Schizosaccharomyces pombe: one gene and its partners. Changing the gene in region 3 together with the main gene of any one other region gives a genetic interaction. Each region holds a gene or a part of one and is shown on either strand. Other genes may lie near its edges. The genes, in order: amk2, swc5, scs7 and ubp8.

The links.
Region 1: mutations in scs7 (region 3) and amk2 together harm fitness more than expected from each alone (negative genetic interaction), as found in Schizosaccharomyces pombe (3 studies listed by BioGRID).
Region 2: mutations in scs7 (region 3) and swc5 together harm fitness less than expected from each alone (positive genetic interaction), as found in Schizosaccharomyces pombe (2 studies listed by BioGRID).
Region 4: mutations in scs7 (region 3) and ubp8 together harm fitness less than expected from each alone (positive genetic interaction), as found in Schizosaccharomyces pombe (2 studies listed by BioGRID).

Annotation. Positions count from the first base shown.
Region 1 is NC_003421.2:2,206,797-2,211,145, forward strand, and holds amk2 (serine/threonine protein kinase AMPK (beta) regulatory subunit Amk2), read right to left. Parts: upstream 2,232-4,349; 5' UTR 2,204-2,231; coding exon 2,179-2,203; exon of another isoform or gene 2,126-2,178; coding exon 1,865-2,125; exon of another isoform or gene 1,695-1,864; coding exon 1,592-1,694; intron 1,496-1,591; coding exon 1,027-1,495; intron 979-1,026; coding exon 940-978; 3' UTR 689-939; downstream 1-688. Other genes in the region: pbn1 (GPI synthesis protein pig-X), read left to right, coding at 1-674; SPOM_SPCC1919.04 (uncharacterized protein), read left to right, coding at 4,307-4,349. UniProt on the Schizosaccharomyces pombe protein: Beta subunit of AMP-activated protein kinase (AMPK), which is required for transcriptional, metabolic, and developmental adaptations in response to glucose limitation.
Region 2 is NC_003421.2:2,099,605-2,102,970, forward strand, and holds swc5 (Swr1 complex subunit Swc5), read left to right. Parts: upstream 1-2,139; 5' UTR 2,140-2,148; coding exon 2,149-2,796; downstream 2,797-3,366. Other genes in the region: rpl15 (60S ribosomal protein eL15), read left to right, coding at 275-880; FANCM-MHF complex subunit Mhf2 , read right to left, coding at 1,828-1,948, 1,991-2,139; diphthine synthase Dph5, read left to right, coding at 2,983-3,242.
Region 3 is NC_003424.3:4,055,040-4,059,624, reverse strand, and holds scs7 (ER sphingosine hydroxylase Scs7), read right to left. Parts: upstream 2,850-4,585; 5' UTR 2,668-2,849; coding exon 2,610-2,667; intron 2,590-2,609; exon of another isoform or gene 2,322-2,589; coding exon 1,336-2,321; 3' UTR 810-1,335; downstream 1-809. Other genes in the region: RNA-binding protein Rsd1, read left to right, coding at 3,608-3,661, 3,753-4,543. UniProt on the Schizosaccharomyces pombe protein: Ceramide hydroxylase involved in the hydroxylation of sphingolipid-associated very long chain fatty acids. Postulated to hydroxylate the very long chain fatty acid of dihydroceramides and phytoceramides at C-2.
Region 4 is NC_003424.3:578,640-583,459, forward strand, and holds ubp8 (SAGA complex ubiquitin Ubp8), read right to left. Parts: upstream 2,842-4,820; 5' UTR 2,752-2,841; coding exon 2,656-2,751; intron 2,578-2,655; coding exon 2,445-2,577; intron 2,345-2,444; coding exon 1,657-2,344; intron 1,612-1,656; coding exon 1,314-1,611; intron 1,310-1,313; exon of another isoform or gene 1,261-1,309; coding exon 1,196-1,260; exon of another isoform or gene 1,151-1,195; coding exon 1,081-1,150; 3' UTR 714-1,080; downstream 1-713. Other genes in the region: protein Mcp7, read left to right, coding at 42-608; ysp2 (peptidase family M17 cytoplasmic leucyl aminopeptidase yspII (LAP yspII)), read left to right, coding at 3,853-4,820. UniProt on the Schizosaccharomyces pombe protein: Histone deubiquitinating enzyme component of the transcription coactivator SAGA complex. SAGA acts as a general cofactor required for essentially all RNA polymerase II transcription.

The DNA of each region.
Region 1 (4,349 bases), on a different chromosome or scaffold from region 3:
AGGGATGGAATGTGTCTTTGGAAACTGTTCCAAATTTAGATATACCAGTGGGTAGTTATGAGACACAGCTCGGTTTGCCGGTAGGTCTACATCCCAAATTGCATGTTCATTTGAAAAATCTGCATAAACCTGAAGACGAATGCTCTTTGCAGGGGTTCATGTACATACCACCTACATTGTTTATTGACAGGTACGAGCTATCTAATATTGCGGAAATGCATGCCGACAATTTAGGGCATGTTTTAGGAATTTGGGGTGAGACCGACTTGGAAGCACCTAGTTACAAATTAAATGGTACTGGGTCTTTTTTCTGGTTTGACATATATACGGACGATGGTTTGTTGCAAAAAGACTATATAGACACTATCATTCCCTTACACACACGTTATCAAAGCCCTCTCAAAGGACAAACATACTTAAAAACATCATTAACAAATCCCAAGTTTTTCTGGAATTGTGACACTGAAGACAAAGTAAATGATTTCAGATTTCTGTTTTCCAGTAAGAACAAATATACCTTACAAAACGATCCAACAACCTTAAGCATATCTATTCCAATAGCCGATTTATCCTATAAACATGTCGTAGAATGGGTGACTAATGGAGTCGCGATTTTTTCGTTCTTCTACCTATTGCTATATTTGTGGAAAAGGTTCCGTTACGCAAAGGATTAAGAGAATAACATCGTGAAGTGAAGTAACTAGATATGTATTTATAAAAATTAATTAACCTATGGATCGCTACATAGTGAAATATGAACTGGTTGCTTTGTGCTTGATATCACAGCGTAAAGTTTTCTCGAAACAAAATCGTGCAAATAAACCAATCAAATGAAGTATAATGATGGGATGTTTGAGAAATTTAAAAAAATAAATTTATCATTAAAGTGATTATATACGTCGCGAAATATAAACAATAAATTCGACAGATGCGGTATGGCTAGACATCAAAATTTTTAAACATAGCAGTAGTGACATACTGGGGAAACAAAGTTAGTCAAGCAACGCGTATAAGGAACCGACTTACCTTTCGATGATAGCGCGTAGTAGCACTTAAAGCGAGAACGCCTAACTGGGTATTTGCAGCTGCTAAATGGTTTAAAAGGACGTGATTAGGATTTGGCAAGACAGACTGATCCTCCTTATAGGCAGTATTTGAGTTAAGGATACACTTCTCAAGATGAGGAGGTAGAGAAGGGGGCTTTGGCAACTTCAACTCTTGAAGGGTGTTGCTAGTAAGAAAAGCTGGTATCTCCGTAGAATATTGCTCAGATTCAGACTTTTCCTCCATCGGAAGGTCCGTATGAACTTGACTCAATCTTTCATCAATACTAGCGCCTAACTTCTCATTAGCTTCCACCTCGAGGTAGTTGTAAAGGTTGCCTTCCGCATCGGTGGCAGTTGGAAAATCTGAAGAACAGCACCATATACCATCAACCAAGAATTTAAAACGCTGAGTTCCAGGACGTAATTGCAAAAGGACAGTGTAATCTTCGCTATTTGGCGAAAAAGTTAGCAAGCTTAAAACAGGATAAACAACCTATAAAGGGAGGCTCAAATATAGAAAAAAGCACACCATGAAAAACTCATACCTTTTCAGTAATTGGATTTTTTTCTTCCAACGAGAAAACGATCCAGTGACATAAACAACTTCACCGCCTCCTCTCCATCGAATAATGGTTGGCACACAAGGACCTATATGTGTAAGTAATTAAATTGTCAATTGCAAAAAATCTCCTTTCTGAAAACTATTGCAAACAAACGTTAAGGTCAACAGCTTAAATGATAATGCAATGTTACGGTAAATCACCCTTGTTACATAAGGATGTCAAGCAATCAAATAAACCGGTCTTAAAGAAACTTACCAGAATAAGGCTGATGTGTCTTCTTGCCTGAAGTTTGAGAACGGCGTTTCGTATGACCACTCGATCCTGAAGTTCCGTTTTGGGAAGTACGATTATTACCGCCTTCCTGCTGATTATCATCCGACATTTCACCTTCTTGATTCAAATCATCTGCAGCAATACTAATCATGCTTTGGGCACGTGGTTCTTTTGGAACGTTATTTGCATTGTCAGGCGTTGTTGTGGCATCTTGAGAAGGGACAGCATGTGCGCGAGTCTCTCCTAACATTAAATTAGATACTTATTTCACATGTGTTTAACTTAAAGGACATTACCCTCCTGAGATTGAACATTTCCCATTTTGAAATGATGTAAAGTAGTTTGTTCTGGCTTTGTAGCTCATCACTTTGAACTAAACCCCAACGAGCATGAAATAAGGTTATTTATTGTATCTAAGCTATCATTAAATAGTGGAAGCTAAAGTGCAGCGTTATTCACAGTTAAACGCTTCGTACTGTTTTGCAGCTTTATCAAAGAAAACATTAATTGAAAATCCATTTATTATAAAGAATAAATATCTAAAAGCTGTATGATAAAAGCTGAAAAATTTAATATTGCATTTGGGACGTATAATACAGTTCTACAACAGCTATGTATAATCTTTTGAAGGTAAAAAGCAGCATGCTTCTCATTCTTAATGGAAATGTTTAAAAAATTATTGAAGCTACATATGAAACGATATAGAAAAATTTTAAACTACTCTGTGCATTGAGAGGCCTTCAAGTTAATTATACACTAAAAGCGGTTCACTTATAATTATTGTAACTTAGCGAGGCTTTAATTGAGTTAAACTTCCATAACCGAAAGGCCTGCATATTATATGTTTATAAATTAATGAATACCTTGTACATTACGCTCGTATAGCTTCATCTTTTTTAACTACGTTCTAGTATAACAATATATAAGTATGGCGCAAAAACTTCTTTCGTAAAAAAGACGCTTCTATTTCTCAGACGAAATCACTCAAATTAAGTTACGAACTTAAAAAAAGCCTGAATTTCTAGATATCAAATGCTCTATTTCCGTCAATTTTTCATGTCTACTTATTATGCTGCGAAATAAGCGAACTAAAATCACTGCATTGCAAAAACAAGAACAGTGTTTTCAATGAACGTACTGATTAAATACATTCCATATGAAACGAAGAATATATTATTTTTTAGTTAAATGACGACTTTACCAAACCAAACGTGAATTTTTGTTGCGATGAATCCTTCACTTTATAATCTATAACGAAGCAAAGTAGTGAAAACTTATATGTTGTTAGTACGCAGCTCAGTATTGGTTTAATGATACAATAAAGTATGAAGTATTGTTTTTTGATATGATATGTTCCATTACAAAAATGTCATGAATTGAAGTACATATGGTTGAATATGCTGTTAGAGTACTCTTTCCGTTCACCTAACTCAAACGAAATTTTGATTTCAGTGGTAATCTTTTTATGCTGTTTTAAAGCCACGAACACGAGGAAGGATTTGAAATAGACCGTTTAAATATACAAATTATACCCATACATATCCTAGAGGCTTTTAATGAATAACCTACGCGATTTATTGTTTGCTACGTAGTTTGGTATTTGTTTAGCGATACACTAAAATGCGATGAGTTTCTTTTGCGGGCTACAAGATAACGGTATGGGTATGCTTCACTAACAATATTATATTTATTGTTATAAGTCTACTAGTATTGGTGACCGATTTAGCTAATAACTGAACTGAGGAACGAGGTTCAGTTTGTCTTAATTTAAAGCATTGAAAAAACTATGTAATAAAATAACATCTTTTTATTATTGAACACTATTATAATCTTCTTGATAACTTATCTTGTAAGTAAATAGAGCAAATAGAATATTAGAGCATATGTTATAGTGTATCGTAGTGTATTTTATATAAGCTGACATTAATGTATTGTAGGAATAGTAGTATTTAGAATTGGTATGTACGCTACGCAGTTTGGTATCTGATTTAAGGATACGTAGAACTACGGTGAGTTTTCCTTGTGATCTATTATATTACAATACACAGGTTGTATAAGTAGCAACTGAGTATAGGTATTGTATTAACTGGGTTATAATGTTACCTATCACTAATATAGCTCATAACTGAACTGAGGAACGAGGTTCAGCAGTAGCTCTATTTATAGTATTCAGATAATATTGATCTTAATAGATTATCATTAAGATCAATCTCCATATCGTATCATACATGGTACGATATATAATTAGAACATGTGACATATAGTGATACGCAACGTAGTGTATCATAGCGTAGTGTCATATTGCTGACATGGTATACAAGATAGTGCATTACGCAAACAACTTGAAAGGGCACCTTCCTTGATCACTTACATCCAGAGTGCTAATTATTAAGAGCACTAATTTAAAACTTTTTTGTTTAAGACATGGATCTCTCGTTTATTGAGGGCTTTGAAACTATATGGACTG
Region 2 (3,366 bases), on a different chromosome or scaffold from region 3:
ATGTCTTTAATCGATTTATGTGCGAGAAACAGTAAATGAACGTAATCTCATCCTTTTTTTTCAGCCATTGTTTAAAAAGTAGAAAATATATCTTTGGATAGCTAGCAGAGCATTGTCGAGAAATCATTATTTTTAGTTATTTCAGCTTCTCAATGTCGAATGTTACACCTTAGGGTAGGTCTTTAAACAGCGTGACTGTTTTTGGTTTTCTGATCAACACACTGAAAGTTTAGGATCAGTTGCACAGAACCACCACCACCGCTTTTTTATCAAAATGGGTGCCTACAAGTACTTGGAAGAGCTTGCTAAGAAGAAGCAATCTGACGTTAACTTGTTCTTGTCTCGCGTTCGCGCTTGGGAGTACCGTCAGATGAATGTAATCCACCGTGCCAGCCGTCCTTCTCGTCCTGACAAGGCTCGTCGTTTGGGTTACAAGGCTAAGCAAGGTTATGTTATCTACCGCATCCGTGTCCGCCGTGGTGGTCGTAAGCGCCCTGTCCCCAAGGGTCAAACATATGGTAAACCCGTCCACCAGGGTGTTAACCATCTCAAGTACCAACGCTCTGCTCGCTGTACCGCTGAGGAGCGTGTTGGCCGCTACTGCTCTAACTTGCGTGTATTGAACTCTTACTGGGTTAACCAAGATGCTACTTACAAGTTCTTTGAGGTTATCCTTGTTGATCCCTCTCACAAGGCTATCCGTCGCGATCCTCGTATCAACTGGATTGTCAACCCCGTTCACAAGCACCGTGAGTCTCGTGGTCTTACTTCCATTGGTAAGAAGTCTCGTGGTATTGGCAAGGGTCATCGTTTCAACAACTCTCCCCAGCATGCCACCTGGCTCCGTCACAACACTTTGTCTCTTCGCAGATACCGTTAGAGAGTTTGGCGCTAATTGTAATATCTCAAAACAAGACATTTCTGTTGTTCAAAATATATTAGTCGAAAGTATTTTTTGTAACTATTTGTAAGAAACTCAGGAAGAAAGTAGTTAACTGTATTCAACAATAATAAGCTCATGGTATGATGGCTGTTGTTGAGAGTATATGTATATAAAAAATACTGTTTAAAAAGTTTAAAAAATCATAAGCTTATTTATTCAAATAGTAAAAATATACATAATATACATACTATCTTTGACTTTTACTTAAAATCTAAGCAAAGAAGGCATGGAGATAGCGATGAAAGCTAGAATGTGCTTTTCGTTCTGCTCACTCTGTTAAAAAACAATAAAAAAAAGAAATGTAGTACATTAATAAGAAAATGGTGATATTAACTTTATATGTGTATTTTTTAATAAAAAGAAGCAATCCCGTATATTATAATTGTAAGAATAGTAATCAAAAATTCATTGTTATACCATGAGAGAAGAATATTATTCCCTTTTGATAATGTTTTGCATTGGATATCACCCCAAAGCACTTATCCATTATTTTTCACAATCTTTCTAATTCCAAAAAAATGTACAGGTTTCAAAAATTATAGTTTAGGACCGGAGTTTGTCAAAGTAAAGTTGTTTATCCTAGCCTAGACAAGAAAGTTAGGAAATCATAAAGGCAACAAAATCCAACACCAATTCAATTGGAAAAAAAAAGGTAAAAGATTAATCTGGAAAAATATTTTAAAAAACATTACAAAAAAGATAATATAACTTCCATAAACTGGTTAATTGACGCTCGAGTGTTTTGAGTTTTTTTATAACAAATCCCCCACAAGTCTTATTTAATTAAACAACTGAAAATTAAAACGTTGCTTATCACATACTGTTTCAATAACATTTCGTTCTATCACAAAGCTTTATTAAAAACGTCTCCATTTAGTATCAGCCTAACTAAAGTCAAGGGCTAGTTGAGCTGCGATGCCATTTTCCAAATCTTCTAATTCTAAAACAATATCTTCATTTTCAGAAGATGACATGATAGAGTTCTTTTTCTCTTCATAAGCTCGACTAAACGAATAATTAGCACATAAGTAATACAAAAGCCCTTACCAAACTGCCTCTTTTGAATAAATCCTTAAGTATTGAGTAATTAATTCTAAAGCACTTGGAGTAATTTTGGTTCCCTTTTCTGAACTGAAATACAAGGTCAGAATGCGTGCCAACGTATTGAGGGACAGCAGTTCGCTTTCCTGCTCCATTACACTTCAATGACAGAGAAATTAATTGATTTCGGCCTTGAACAAGAGGAGGAGGATACGGAATTTGTCCCAGGTGACAGTACGGATACGGAGTCGTCGTTTTCTGATGCTGATTCAAGTGAGGAGGAGTTCGTAGAGGAAAAAGAAGCCTCGCAAGTTCAAAGTACTAAATCAAAAATTGCAACCAGTGAATCTGAAGATGTTACTCTTAAAAATATAGCAAAAAAAAATAAAAGAGAAAGAAATGATAAATTAATCCCTCAACAATCAAATGAATCCGAGGCAATTGAGAAACCGGTACAGTCTACAACCGAAGTGGAACTGAAGACTAATGAACTTGCAGAATCGAATTCCTCAGTTGCCGTAGAAGGGGATGAAAATTCCTATGCTGAAACACCTAAGAAGAAACACTCATTGATAAGGAAACGCCGTAAATCTCCACTTGATAGCTCGTCAGCCCAAAAGGTTTTAAAGAAAAACAAGCTAAACACTCTTGAACAAGCACAGCAAAATTGGTCAAAGTATATTAAGGAACAGGATATTCAAGATGAGCTTCGGATCGCCAATAAAGATGGTTATGTCGAGCGCCAGGAATTCTTAGCAAAAACCCGTGCTGCACATGAAGAAAAAATTCGAGAGATGAAAAAGTTGCCGTAACAAAATGGTTTAAAACTTAAAACTAGTATTTTTTTTAATGAAGAACCCCTTTTGTCTAAGACACCAGCCGGCAGCATTGAACGAGTCCATGTCGATTTTGCGTTTCTTCAACTACTTCACCTCCTCCAAGCCAGGAAGTCGTTGTCTTTCTAAAACTTCATTTGAAAATATCCAGATATTATTTAAATGTTTTATTTAATTGGATTAGGATTATTTGATGAAAAGGATATTACCTTAAGAGGCCTAGAAACAGTAAAAAAATGTCAGCGTATATATCTTGAGGCATATACGTCCATTTTGCTCGTTCAGAAGGAAAAATTAGAAGAACTTTATGGTAAAGAGGTTATCCTTGCTGATCGTGAAATGGTAGAGAGCAGTAGTGATGAAATCTTGAAAGACGCTGACAATTGTGATGTTGCAATGCTTGTTGTTGGTGATCCGATGGGGTATGTTTACTTGAAAGTACATGTTCCTTTTATTTATCTTTTTTTTATTTACTTTGAGAAATTTGACTCAGCTGTTTATTACAGGCTTTTAGCCCTTACGACAGCATCTCTCAGTTATTAAAAA
Region 3 (4,585 bases):
GCGTTATAATAGCAATGCTTTAATCATAAACAATGCTTACTCAGTTTTGCTAGATCATTTTTTACTATAGTCTTTATCGGCAAGAAATTGAGGAAACTCCTTCAAGGCATGATGATCGTAATCATTTAAGAAGTCTTTGACATGTATTATGCATCTAAATGTCAGAGGTTGAGAAAAAAACAAATAAACAAATCTGAAAGTGTCAGGAAAATGACTTGGCAATAATTCAAGCTTATTCATGTTAACCAACGTCAATAGTAATGGTTAATAACTCGACGTCCGCTTAACAAACACTAGGGTAAATTTACCTGCAACTTGTAATTGAGGAATTCTAAACGCATTCCCCACAAGCTAGTTTCTGTTAACAAATATTTTTATAGATTTTGTCTAAAATCTATTTTCTGGTTAAATAATCAGTAAATTGCTACACTTTTATTCACAAGAAAACAAATTTTTAAAATAAAAATTTATTAGTGAAATCCTATATGATGATTTAAGTTACCCTAATACTCAAAAAAGGAAGGTTGTCCGAGTGGTTATGGAGCTAGTTTAAGGCACTAGTGCGAAAGCTCGTGGGTTCGAGTCCCACACCTTTCATTACGATCTTTTTAATAAATTTTTTTACATTTTATAAACAAATGTAAAATGACCCTTAAATATAGTTAAAACATATATATTGTGGATATCTCTATTCATCTTCTTCCTAAATTTTTCGTCTCGGCGTTGCATATTTGGTCAACAAAAACTATTCAGCGCTCTTATGATATGGAGATGCTTCTACAAGAAAATCATTTCGCACTACAAACAGATGGGGTGGTAAAAACAATTAAAAATTCGAATTATATTTAAAAGACAGATAAAAGGAAAAATAAAATAGCAACCTTAGACTCAAATTATATAGCCGATAGTCAAGATAATATTATTAAGTTCGACTTAACAAGGTAAAGTTTGAAAACTTGTTCAAAAGAAACCAGAAAATAGTATTAATAGAAAAGAAGAAAGACAAGACAATTTCAATGTGGGATACAAGATGCTTTAGCGAGTGGATCAATCAAATTAAATCAAATTTGATGTTTCTGCAATTCAAATATAATACACAGCTTTAAGGCACTATAATAAGGCCTAGTTAAAGTCAGAGAGAAAATGGGGGAAAATTGCTTAGTGATTTCAAGGGTAAAGAGAGGAGAAAAAATTTGGAAAGCAATTAAAAAAGAAAAGAAAAATACAACAAGATTTATATAGCACACAAAATTATTGATAGTTAAAAAGGACCAAAGAAACTTTTAACACCTTGAAAGCAATTTAGCAGCTAAATGATTCAAACGCAATCACAATCTACTTAGCCTTAGTGCTGATCTTTCCCTGTTCGTTGAAAAGAGGTCCCTCAGTTCCAAAAACACGGTCCCAAAACCAGCTGGTGATACCATAGGCAGACTTGTAATCCTTGTAGTGATGGTCCAAATGCCAGGTCTTCAAATCAGTCAAGTAAGCATTGGGCATACGACGGTGATGTAAGAAATAGTGGGTAAGATCGTAGAAAACGTAACCAAGAATGGCACCAGAGAAACCAGCAACACCAATGTAGTGAGGAAGAACAAGTTGAATAAAGTGATACCAGGGAGTGGCAAAGATAAGGAACAAAGCAGGAGGCATTACAAGACGGTACTTGTCAGCAGGTAAGAAGTGGTGGCAACCGTGGAATGCGAAGTGCATAGTCAAGAAAATAGGATGATCAGGGGTGTACTCATCCAAGTGGAAGAGGAAACGATGCATAGTATATTCAACCAAAGTCCAGGTGAATAATCCAATGATGAAGAAGGTGATAGCAACAGAGAAGGGAATTCCGGTACAGGCGTACAAGAATCCATAAGTGACACAGGGAACCCAAATCAATGGAATCATATACCAAGGGGTCTTGGTAAGAGGCTCCAAAAAGTTTCCAAACAAAGGAGCAGAACCGCTGCCACGGTAATGACGGGGACGGTGAACTTGGTCCAAATAAACATCCTTCTTGATGTTACCAAACAAAATTTGGGGCAATAAAGGCTTCTTGAGGTCAAGGAAATGGTTCTTCTCGAAATCCTTGTCAAGATCGGTAGGCTTGACAATGAATTCATTGCCATAACCGACACCAATGTTCTGGTCGACAAGATCACTGAATTCCTTATTCTTCAAAGGAACCTTAGCACTTTTCAAGATCTCAACAACAGCTTCAGAGTGCTTGGACTTGGAGGTAGCATTAAGGATATCAGCAACCTCTTGGCGGTGATAGCGACGAAGCAAGTCAGCAGCGTCCTTGTTGGCAACCAAGTAGTTGGTGACTAATGGAATGTTAGTATAAAGAACGATACATGTATTTTGGTGTAACTAAGGCAAAGGGGGAAAGGTGAAAAAAAGTTAAAAGCACAACGAACAAAGAAAAAAGATAAGAAATGGCACATCTCCCACAATGGATCTTTTGCCAATAAGCCTTTGCTATATGCGTTTTCATTGTTTTTTATACATTGCCTCTCAAACACTCTGTTGCCGAGAAAAAATTTTAGTCCTTCAACCAAATCTCCTTCTCAAAACCCAAACACCCTGCCATTTCTCCTTGTTTAAATACTTACCATCGTATTCAGTGCCGTCAGAAAGGATAACACACTTTTCACTAGTAACAGAGGCCATTTTGGAGATGGGAGTATGAATTGTTAATTCGTGATAAAACTGTAGCAAGCGTGTTTCTGATGAGTTTGATAAACAAATACAGTAAATATTACAACGTAGCAACTGATCCTATGATTCTTTACTTGGATTTTTGTCCAATTGATCAAAATGTCAGTTCTTTGTTTGTGTTGCGTTAATGGCACGATGTTGTGGCGTGGATGCAGTAGCCTATATATGTCGCAGGAAAGGGCAAAAAGGCATTGCGGGGCGAACCAAAAAATCGTGCTATTTTTGATCGACTTTTCCGAAAAATGGTAAGACAACGGAAAACAATATTTACCGTATCGCAAAACGGGTTCCGAAACTGAACACCAGAAAATTGCACTCAAGGGCCTATACACAGGGAAAGAACAGACGAGTGAAGTGCTTTACAGATACAATTCATTGATTTATTCATAGTAGACTAAAAATTATTATTTGCGAAAAAATACTTGAAAAGAGAAAACCTTAAGTTGATCGAAATTTATTAACTTTTCGTGATTTACTTTTCGTTGGTTTGGTTAGGTATAATTTTGTTTTCCTTCCTTTCCGTTTCTTTGCTTCTTATTGTCGGTAATTGTTTTTAGCTTGGAATTTCCTTATTCCGCTATTCCTCGCTTTCTTTTTTGTTTGTACTAAAATTTCTCTCATCTTTTATCGCTTAGGCAGTAGAATATTCCACTTTTTTTTCCACCGAAAGAAAGAGGACAAAATAGCTCAAAAGAGTACTCATTATTAATATTTTTTAACAAAACAATTCGTGTTAGAAGCGACGAAAGCTACTAGACTGACAAAACTCCATTTTTACTAGCTTACTTAGTTTTCCAGTCGAAGTCTGTTCCGATCCTGTCAGAGTTTGTTGTATTGAAAACGAAAATAAACGAACGTATTTTCCACGCATAGATAAACAGATCTAATCTAAATGCAGCTGGACGCGGAAGCCTTGGCTGAGGCTCCTTTTCGTAAGCAAGAAGTGGTACGTTTACAATTTTTTTCCTTCCTTCCCGCCTTTTCCCTTTGTTTTTTTGTCTTCCCGTGTTTATTGTTTTTACTAACCCTTTTCCTAGCCGCAAAATCAAGAAAATCAGCAAAAGGCATCTTCTTCTTTTCATGAATCCTCACTCACCTCTTCCACTCATAGTCATCCCTCTAACCCTCCTCCACCGCCTACACGGTTGCATGATCGCTCTTTCAAACCCGTGTCTAAAAATTACGAAAGTGAAGGTCGTCTAACTCCTCCTCCCGTTTCAATGGGTTATCGGTACGCCAGATCTTCCAAACAATCTTTTCAACGAGAGGATAGCGGTTATAACGATGATGTAGTTACAAATTCCTCAAGTCATCGCACCCCAAGACACCATAGGAGATCATATAGTCCAAGGTCCGATTATGGTAGTCGCTCTCCCTCTCCTCACTCTTCTGTAGATTCTCATCAAAGTAGATCACCCGTTCGTTCTCGCGATCGCGATCGCAGTTCAAGGTCAAGTCGAAGCCGCCATCCCTCAAGTCGTAGTCGCCATCGATACGATGATTATTCACGCAGCCCTCCTTACTCTTCGCGGCATAGTCGTAGTCGTCGCCGCTATGAAGAACGCTCCTCTCGTTCTTCTAGAGCCCATGATTATGATTATGAGGACTTGAGGGATGATGACCGTTCACATGAGCGTAAGAGAAGTCGTTCCCGTCCTCGTGAACGCTCCTCTAAACTTTCAGAGGAAGAGCGTGATCGCCGTACTGTGTTCGTTTCTCAACTCGCAAATCGTTTGACTTCTAGGGAATTATATGATTTTTTCGAACAAGCTGGTCCTGTTCGCGATGCTCAAATTGTTCGAGACAAGATTAGCGGACGATCGAAAGGGTATGTCTTATAATTTTTTTTTTTTTTTTAAATAGATATTAT
Region 4 (4,820 bases), 3.5 Mb from region 3:
TGTCTCACTTTCCACATTGCTAATCTATGTTTTTTTTATAGAAAGATTTTTTTCAACTAAAGGAGGTGGAAAAGCTGGGCTCTAAAAAGCAAATCGTTTTGCAAACTGTAAAGGACGTTTTACAGTCTCTCGTTGACGACAATATCGTCAAAACGGAAAAGATTGGCACTAGCAATTACTACTGGTCTTTTCCCTCCGATGCTAAACGTTCAAGAGAGTCAGTTCTCGGATCTCTTCAAGCTCAACTTGATGATTTGAAACAAAAATCTAAAACTTTAGATGAAAACATTAGTTTCGAGAAATCCAAAAGGGATAACGAAGGAACCGAAAATGATGCCAATCAATACACTTTGGAACTGCTACATGCAAAAGAATCAGAACTAAAACTTCTTAAAACACAACTTTCAAATTTAAATCACTGTAATCCTGAAACCTTTGAATTAAAAAATGAGAATACTAAAAAGTACATGGAAGCTGCCAATTTGTGGACCGATCAAATCCATACTTTGATAGCTTTTTGTCGAGACATGGGTGCCGATACCAATCAAATTCGTGAGTATTGCAGCATTCCAGAGGATTTGGACGATCTGCAACTACCGATTTTGTGAACTTGACATGCTTCCTTAATTCAAAGAGTTGTTTTCCTTATTAATATTTTAAAATTTTATACATTTTAACAGTTACATATAAAATAGCTTACTCGACGACAAGACTTAGCTTTTAAAAGATAAAATTATAATTAGTTGGAATAATATTAAACGAAACAAAACAAAAGTCCAAATTCCTCAAACTTATAGTATTTGTTAACTTTGAAAGAAAAAAAGCATGTTTCTTTTTTTATAGTTTTAACTTTTTTTATAAATTTACGTAAGGTCATTAATTAAAATGCGACTGTTGTAACGGTTCCAAATCCAATGCCATTTCTGGCCTCAACAATATGAAATCTAAAAGCTTCTTCATGAGTTAGATTATCGAAGTGATGATGTTTCATAACCACATAAATAAGGAACCTTTGAGTCAATTACTTTACATGGTTCATAATGATTGTTCATGAACGGATATCTGATCGCATAATCTAACTCAATTTTCCGTTTTAACAGTCATTTCATCACTGTATAGGATTTGACGCTCATGGTAAAATAATAGGTAACTATAATCTGGTTAGTATGTAAAAAAATAACAGCAAAGAGCCTACGCTTGAGAATTTAAGACCTCCGATTCCTTTACTTCCACAATTGTGGTGTCATCCAGCAAAAACCACTACAAAAATTAGTAAAAATTTCCATAAAAAATTCAAAAAAAATTTAATATACTTGATTTTGGTAGTATGTATAGGCAATATAGTGCCCTGTGTCGAGAGTTCCTTTATGACACACAACTGAGTATAATTGATAATCCACATCATCTTGATTAAAGTTGTAGCGCATTCTTAAAAATGCTGGATAAGATACTTGCTTATCTATTTTAGTTGACATGGCAAAGTTATTTTGTTCAAATCGTTTCAATTGCATGCAAATAGTTGGAGGTAGTTTGTCAAAGACCAATTGTTTAATAGCATTTTTTGACCCGCAACTATGACAGCTATATTGAACTTTCTCTTTGGAAACAAACCTAAAATAATATTTGTTAAAAAATCTAAAAACGAGCAAATTTTACCTTTCCAAACATCCTTGAAGTGTTGGCTCATTGATGTCTAAACTAATGTCCATCAAAGGATCCACAGCCACCCGCTCCTTCTTGCAATCTAGGCATGTAACAACGTTTTTCAGAGATCCACTAAAAATACGATGAATAGGACAAGTGCACGGCATTGATGTTCCTCCTCCGCTTTCCGTATGCATTTGGTCCAGCAAGTATACAAAAAATTCGTGGCCATCTTGCTGGGAGTAACCACATAAAGATTTGCTGAGTTTCCACATAAGATTTAAGACAGCAGTGGGACCGTAAAAAGTAGATTTGTTTTTAGAATTATAAATAGATGAAAACATATCGTCAATGGCACAAGTCATGCAAGTAGGTCGCTTACAATCAGTAGAAGTATGAAACCCACTGAAAAACAAGTTTCGAACCAATGGATTATGCAAAATACTTTGTAAAATGACGCTCATGAAACAAGTAGCACCCAAGTTCTGGATCCCCCTCAAGCCTGCTGTTGCGCAAACTGGAGGGTATTTTCGATAGGCTTCTAAGCAAACCATTTGATTGTACTTCTCGGGAAGTCTCTTGTGATCACTTTGCCATGCCTTGATATTCTTGATCTTAAAACGAAGGGTTTCCAACTCGGTCTGATAAACGTAGTCTTGACAGCCAAAGCAGTAGGTATGGCCATTTTTTACATCCACGCCTAAGAATTAGTAATTGGTATTCGGGAATTGCATCCTAACTCGATATTCGCAAAAAGGTTTCGTTGCTAAATCAATAGCTATGTTTTCAACTAAACGTACCGATCATATGAGTGTGCTCCATTGCGTGTTCTTCACCATGATGTCCCCAAAGACATCCCACAGAATGACAACTCAAGCATCGAATACTCCGCTTGTTGATGCGTTTGCAAGTACTGCAGCGACGTGGGACAAACTAAATGAAAGAAATGTTAAAAGGAATCGAATGGAAAAAGAAAATTGAACTGTATGAAGTGTTGTTCACAAGCCTTACATGACAACTGAATATCTGGGTACAGATCTTTTGATAGTTTTCAACATCCGCCGGTTTAAGTTTAAGATGCTGGCAACCTTCTACATCCCCAGGCATCCTTGATACGTACAAAATTGGCCTTTCAGACTAAAAAGCATCTGCTTCGATGCAGGGTGAAACGACAACAATAGACGAACTCGCTATTCTGGCAAAAGAACATTATTTCTCTTTGCTTAAATTTGGGCAATTAAGGATGCGGTGTACAGCGTTAAGAGCCATAAAGTACTCATAGTGTCTGCACTACTAGATACCGATTTCGTATAAAGAGCTATCATAGCTACGCTAAGTCAATTGATAAAACACCAAAATAGATGTTCTTCGTAGTTCTTGAGTGTCCTTGGTTTTCCTCTTTAAAACATAAACTTGGTAAATTCCCATAGATTTGGCTGTTGAGTCACTGCAAAATAAAAAAAATTACTGCTAGTCCTTTAATCACGGTTGAATAGATGAAATTGTTAATTTTTTAAAAGCTTGGTCAAATTAGACTAATGCCTCTATTAACGTCGAACGTGTTTAAGTGTACGCTTATGTTTGTTGCCATGAAACGTTTGCAGGGCTAAATATAAAACCATATATGACTATTTACCGTGAGCATCTTTGTAATACAACCGAGTCACTGCAAGCAGGTACATGTACGAAAATTTTTGTCTATTACATTTGTATAGAATTTATTACTTAACAATTGACTAGGGGCAGATTTTTGTGCCGAAACAGTTTGTGTTACCCTAAATAGAGATTGTAGGGCAACAATACGTCTGCAGAAGTTCAAATATATATGTAGCAAATGAGTGTGACTTACTTAAAAATTGGTTTTTGATCAAGAAATAAAATCCTTTGGTGCTTTTTCTTTTTTATGTCTAGCCTTGTTGAATGTATTTTTCCATCACAATGTTGATCTTGTCTACTCAATAACACACTAGACTATGTTAAGTACACTTGCCCTTGCCCAATCTGCAATCGGACATCGTATTTTATTTTTGCATACTGAATTTACGTGTATTCGTAGTTTCACGAGTTAACGATTTTCGAATATCCAACTCTCATTGAACTTATAATAATCCGTAATCCTTTACCTTTTTTTTGATTACAAGTGTCTAATTAAGTTTTCTAAATCAAGAGAAATCAAAGATACAAGCAAAGCTTTTTTTCTTACGTACAATGAAGGGTTTAGGTCTAAGTACGAGAACCTTTAATTGGAGCTCACTTTCTTCCATTCTTTTACCAAGAATTCCTTTAGCTACTACAAAAGCCGATTCCTTGATTTTGGCTGTTCGTCACGATAAACAAGTTTTTTCTGAAGATTATCGACAAGTTGTTGACCAGTATTTTGAAACATCTCCCAAAAAAAATGACATTCGTCTCTTTTGGAACACTCAGGGTTTTGTTCGTCTTGCCATAGTCCAGCTTGAAGAAAACGTTTCTGAAAAGTCCGTTCGTTCAGCTGCTGCAGAGGCAGCTAAGATTTTAAAGTCGAATGGTGCAAAGTCGATAGCTGTCGATGGTATGGGTTTTCCCAAGGATGCTGCCTTGGGTGCTGCCTTGGCCACGTACGATTTTTCTCTTCGTAGAGACCATTTGAGCGTCTATCAAGATGAAAAGGTGGTTGAAAAGGAAAATTTATTTACCTCTCCTGCTCCTGAAAGGTTAACTTTCCAATTGCTTAGCAACACATCTGAGAAGAAAACTGCAACCGCAGAGGAGAATGCTTTTAAGGTAGGTTTGATTGAAGCAGCTGCTCAAAACTTGGCTCGTTCTCTTATGGAATGTCCTGCTAATTACATGACTTCTCTTCAATTTTGTCATTTTGCTCAAGAGTTATTCCAAAATTCCTCAAAGGTTAAAGTATTCGTTCACGATGAGAAGTGGATTGATGAGCAAAAGATGAACGGTTTACTTACCGTGAATGCTGGTTCCGATATTCCACCTCGTTTCTTAGAAGTACAATACATTGGTAAAGAAAAATCAAAAGATGATGGATGGCTTGGTTTAGTTGGAAAAGGTGTAACGTTTGACAGCGGTGGTATCAGTATCAAGCCTTCTCAAAACATGAAGGAGATGCGTGCTGATATGGGTGGTGCTGCTGTTATGCTTTCCTCTATTTATGCCTTGGAACAACTTTCCATCCC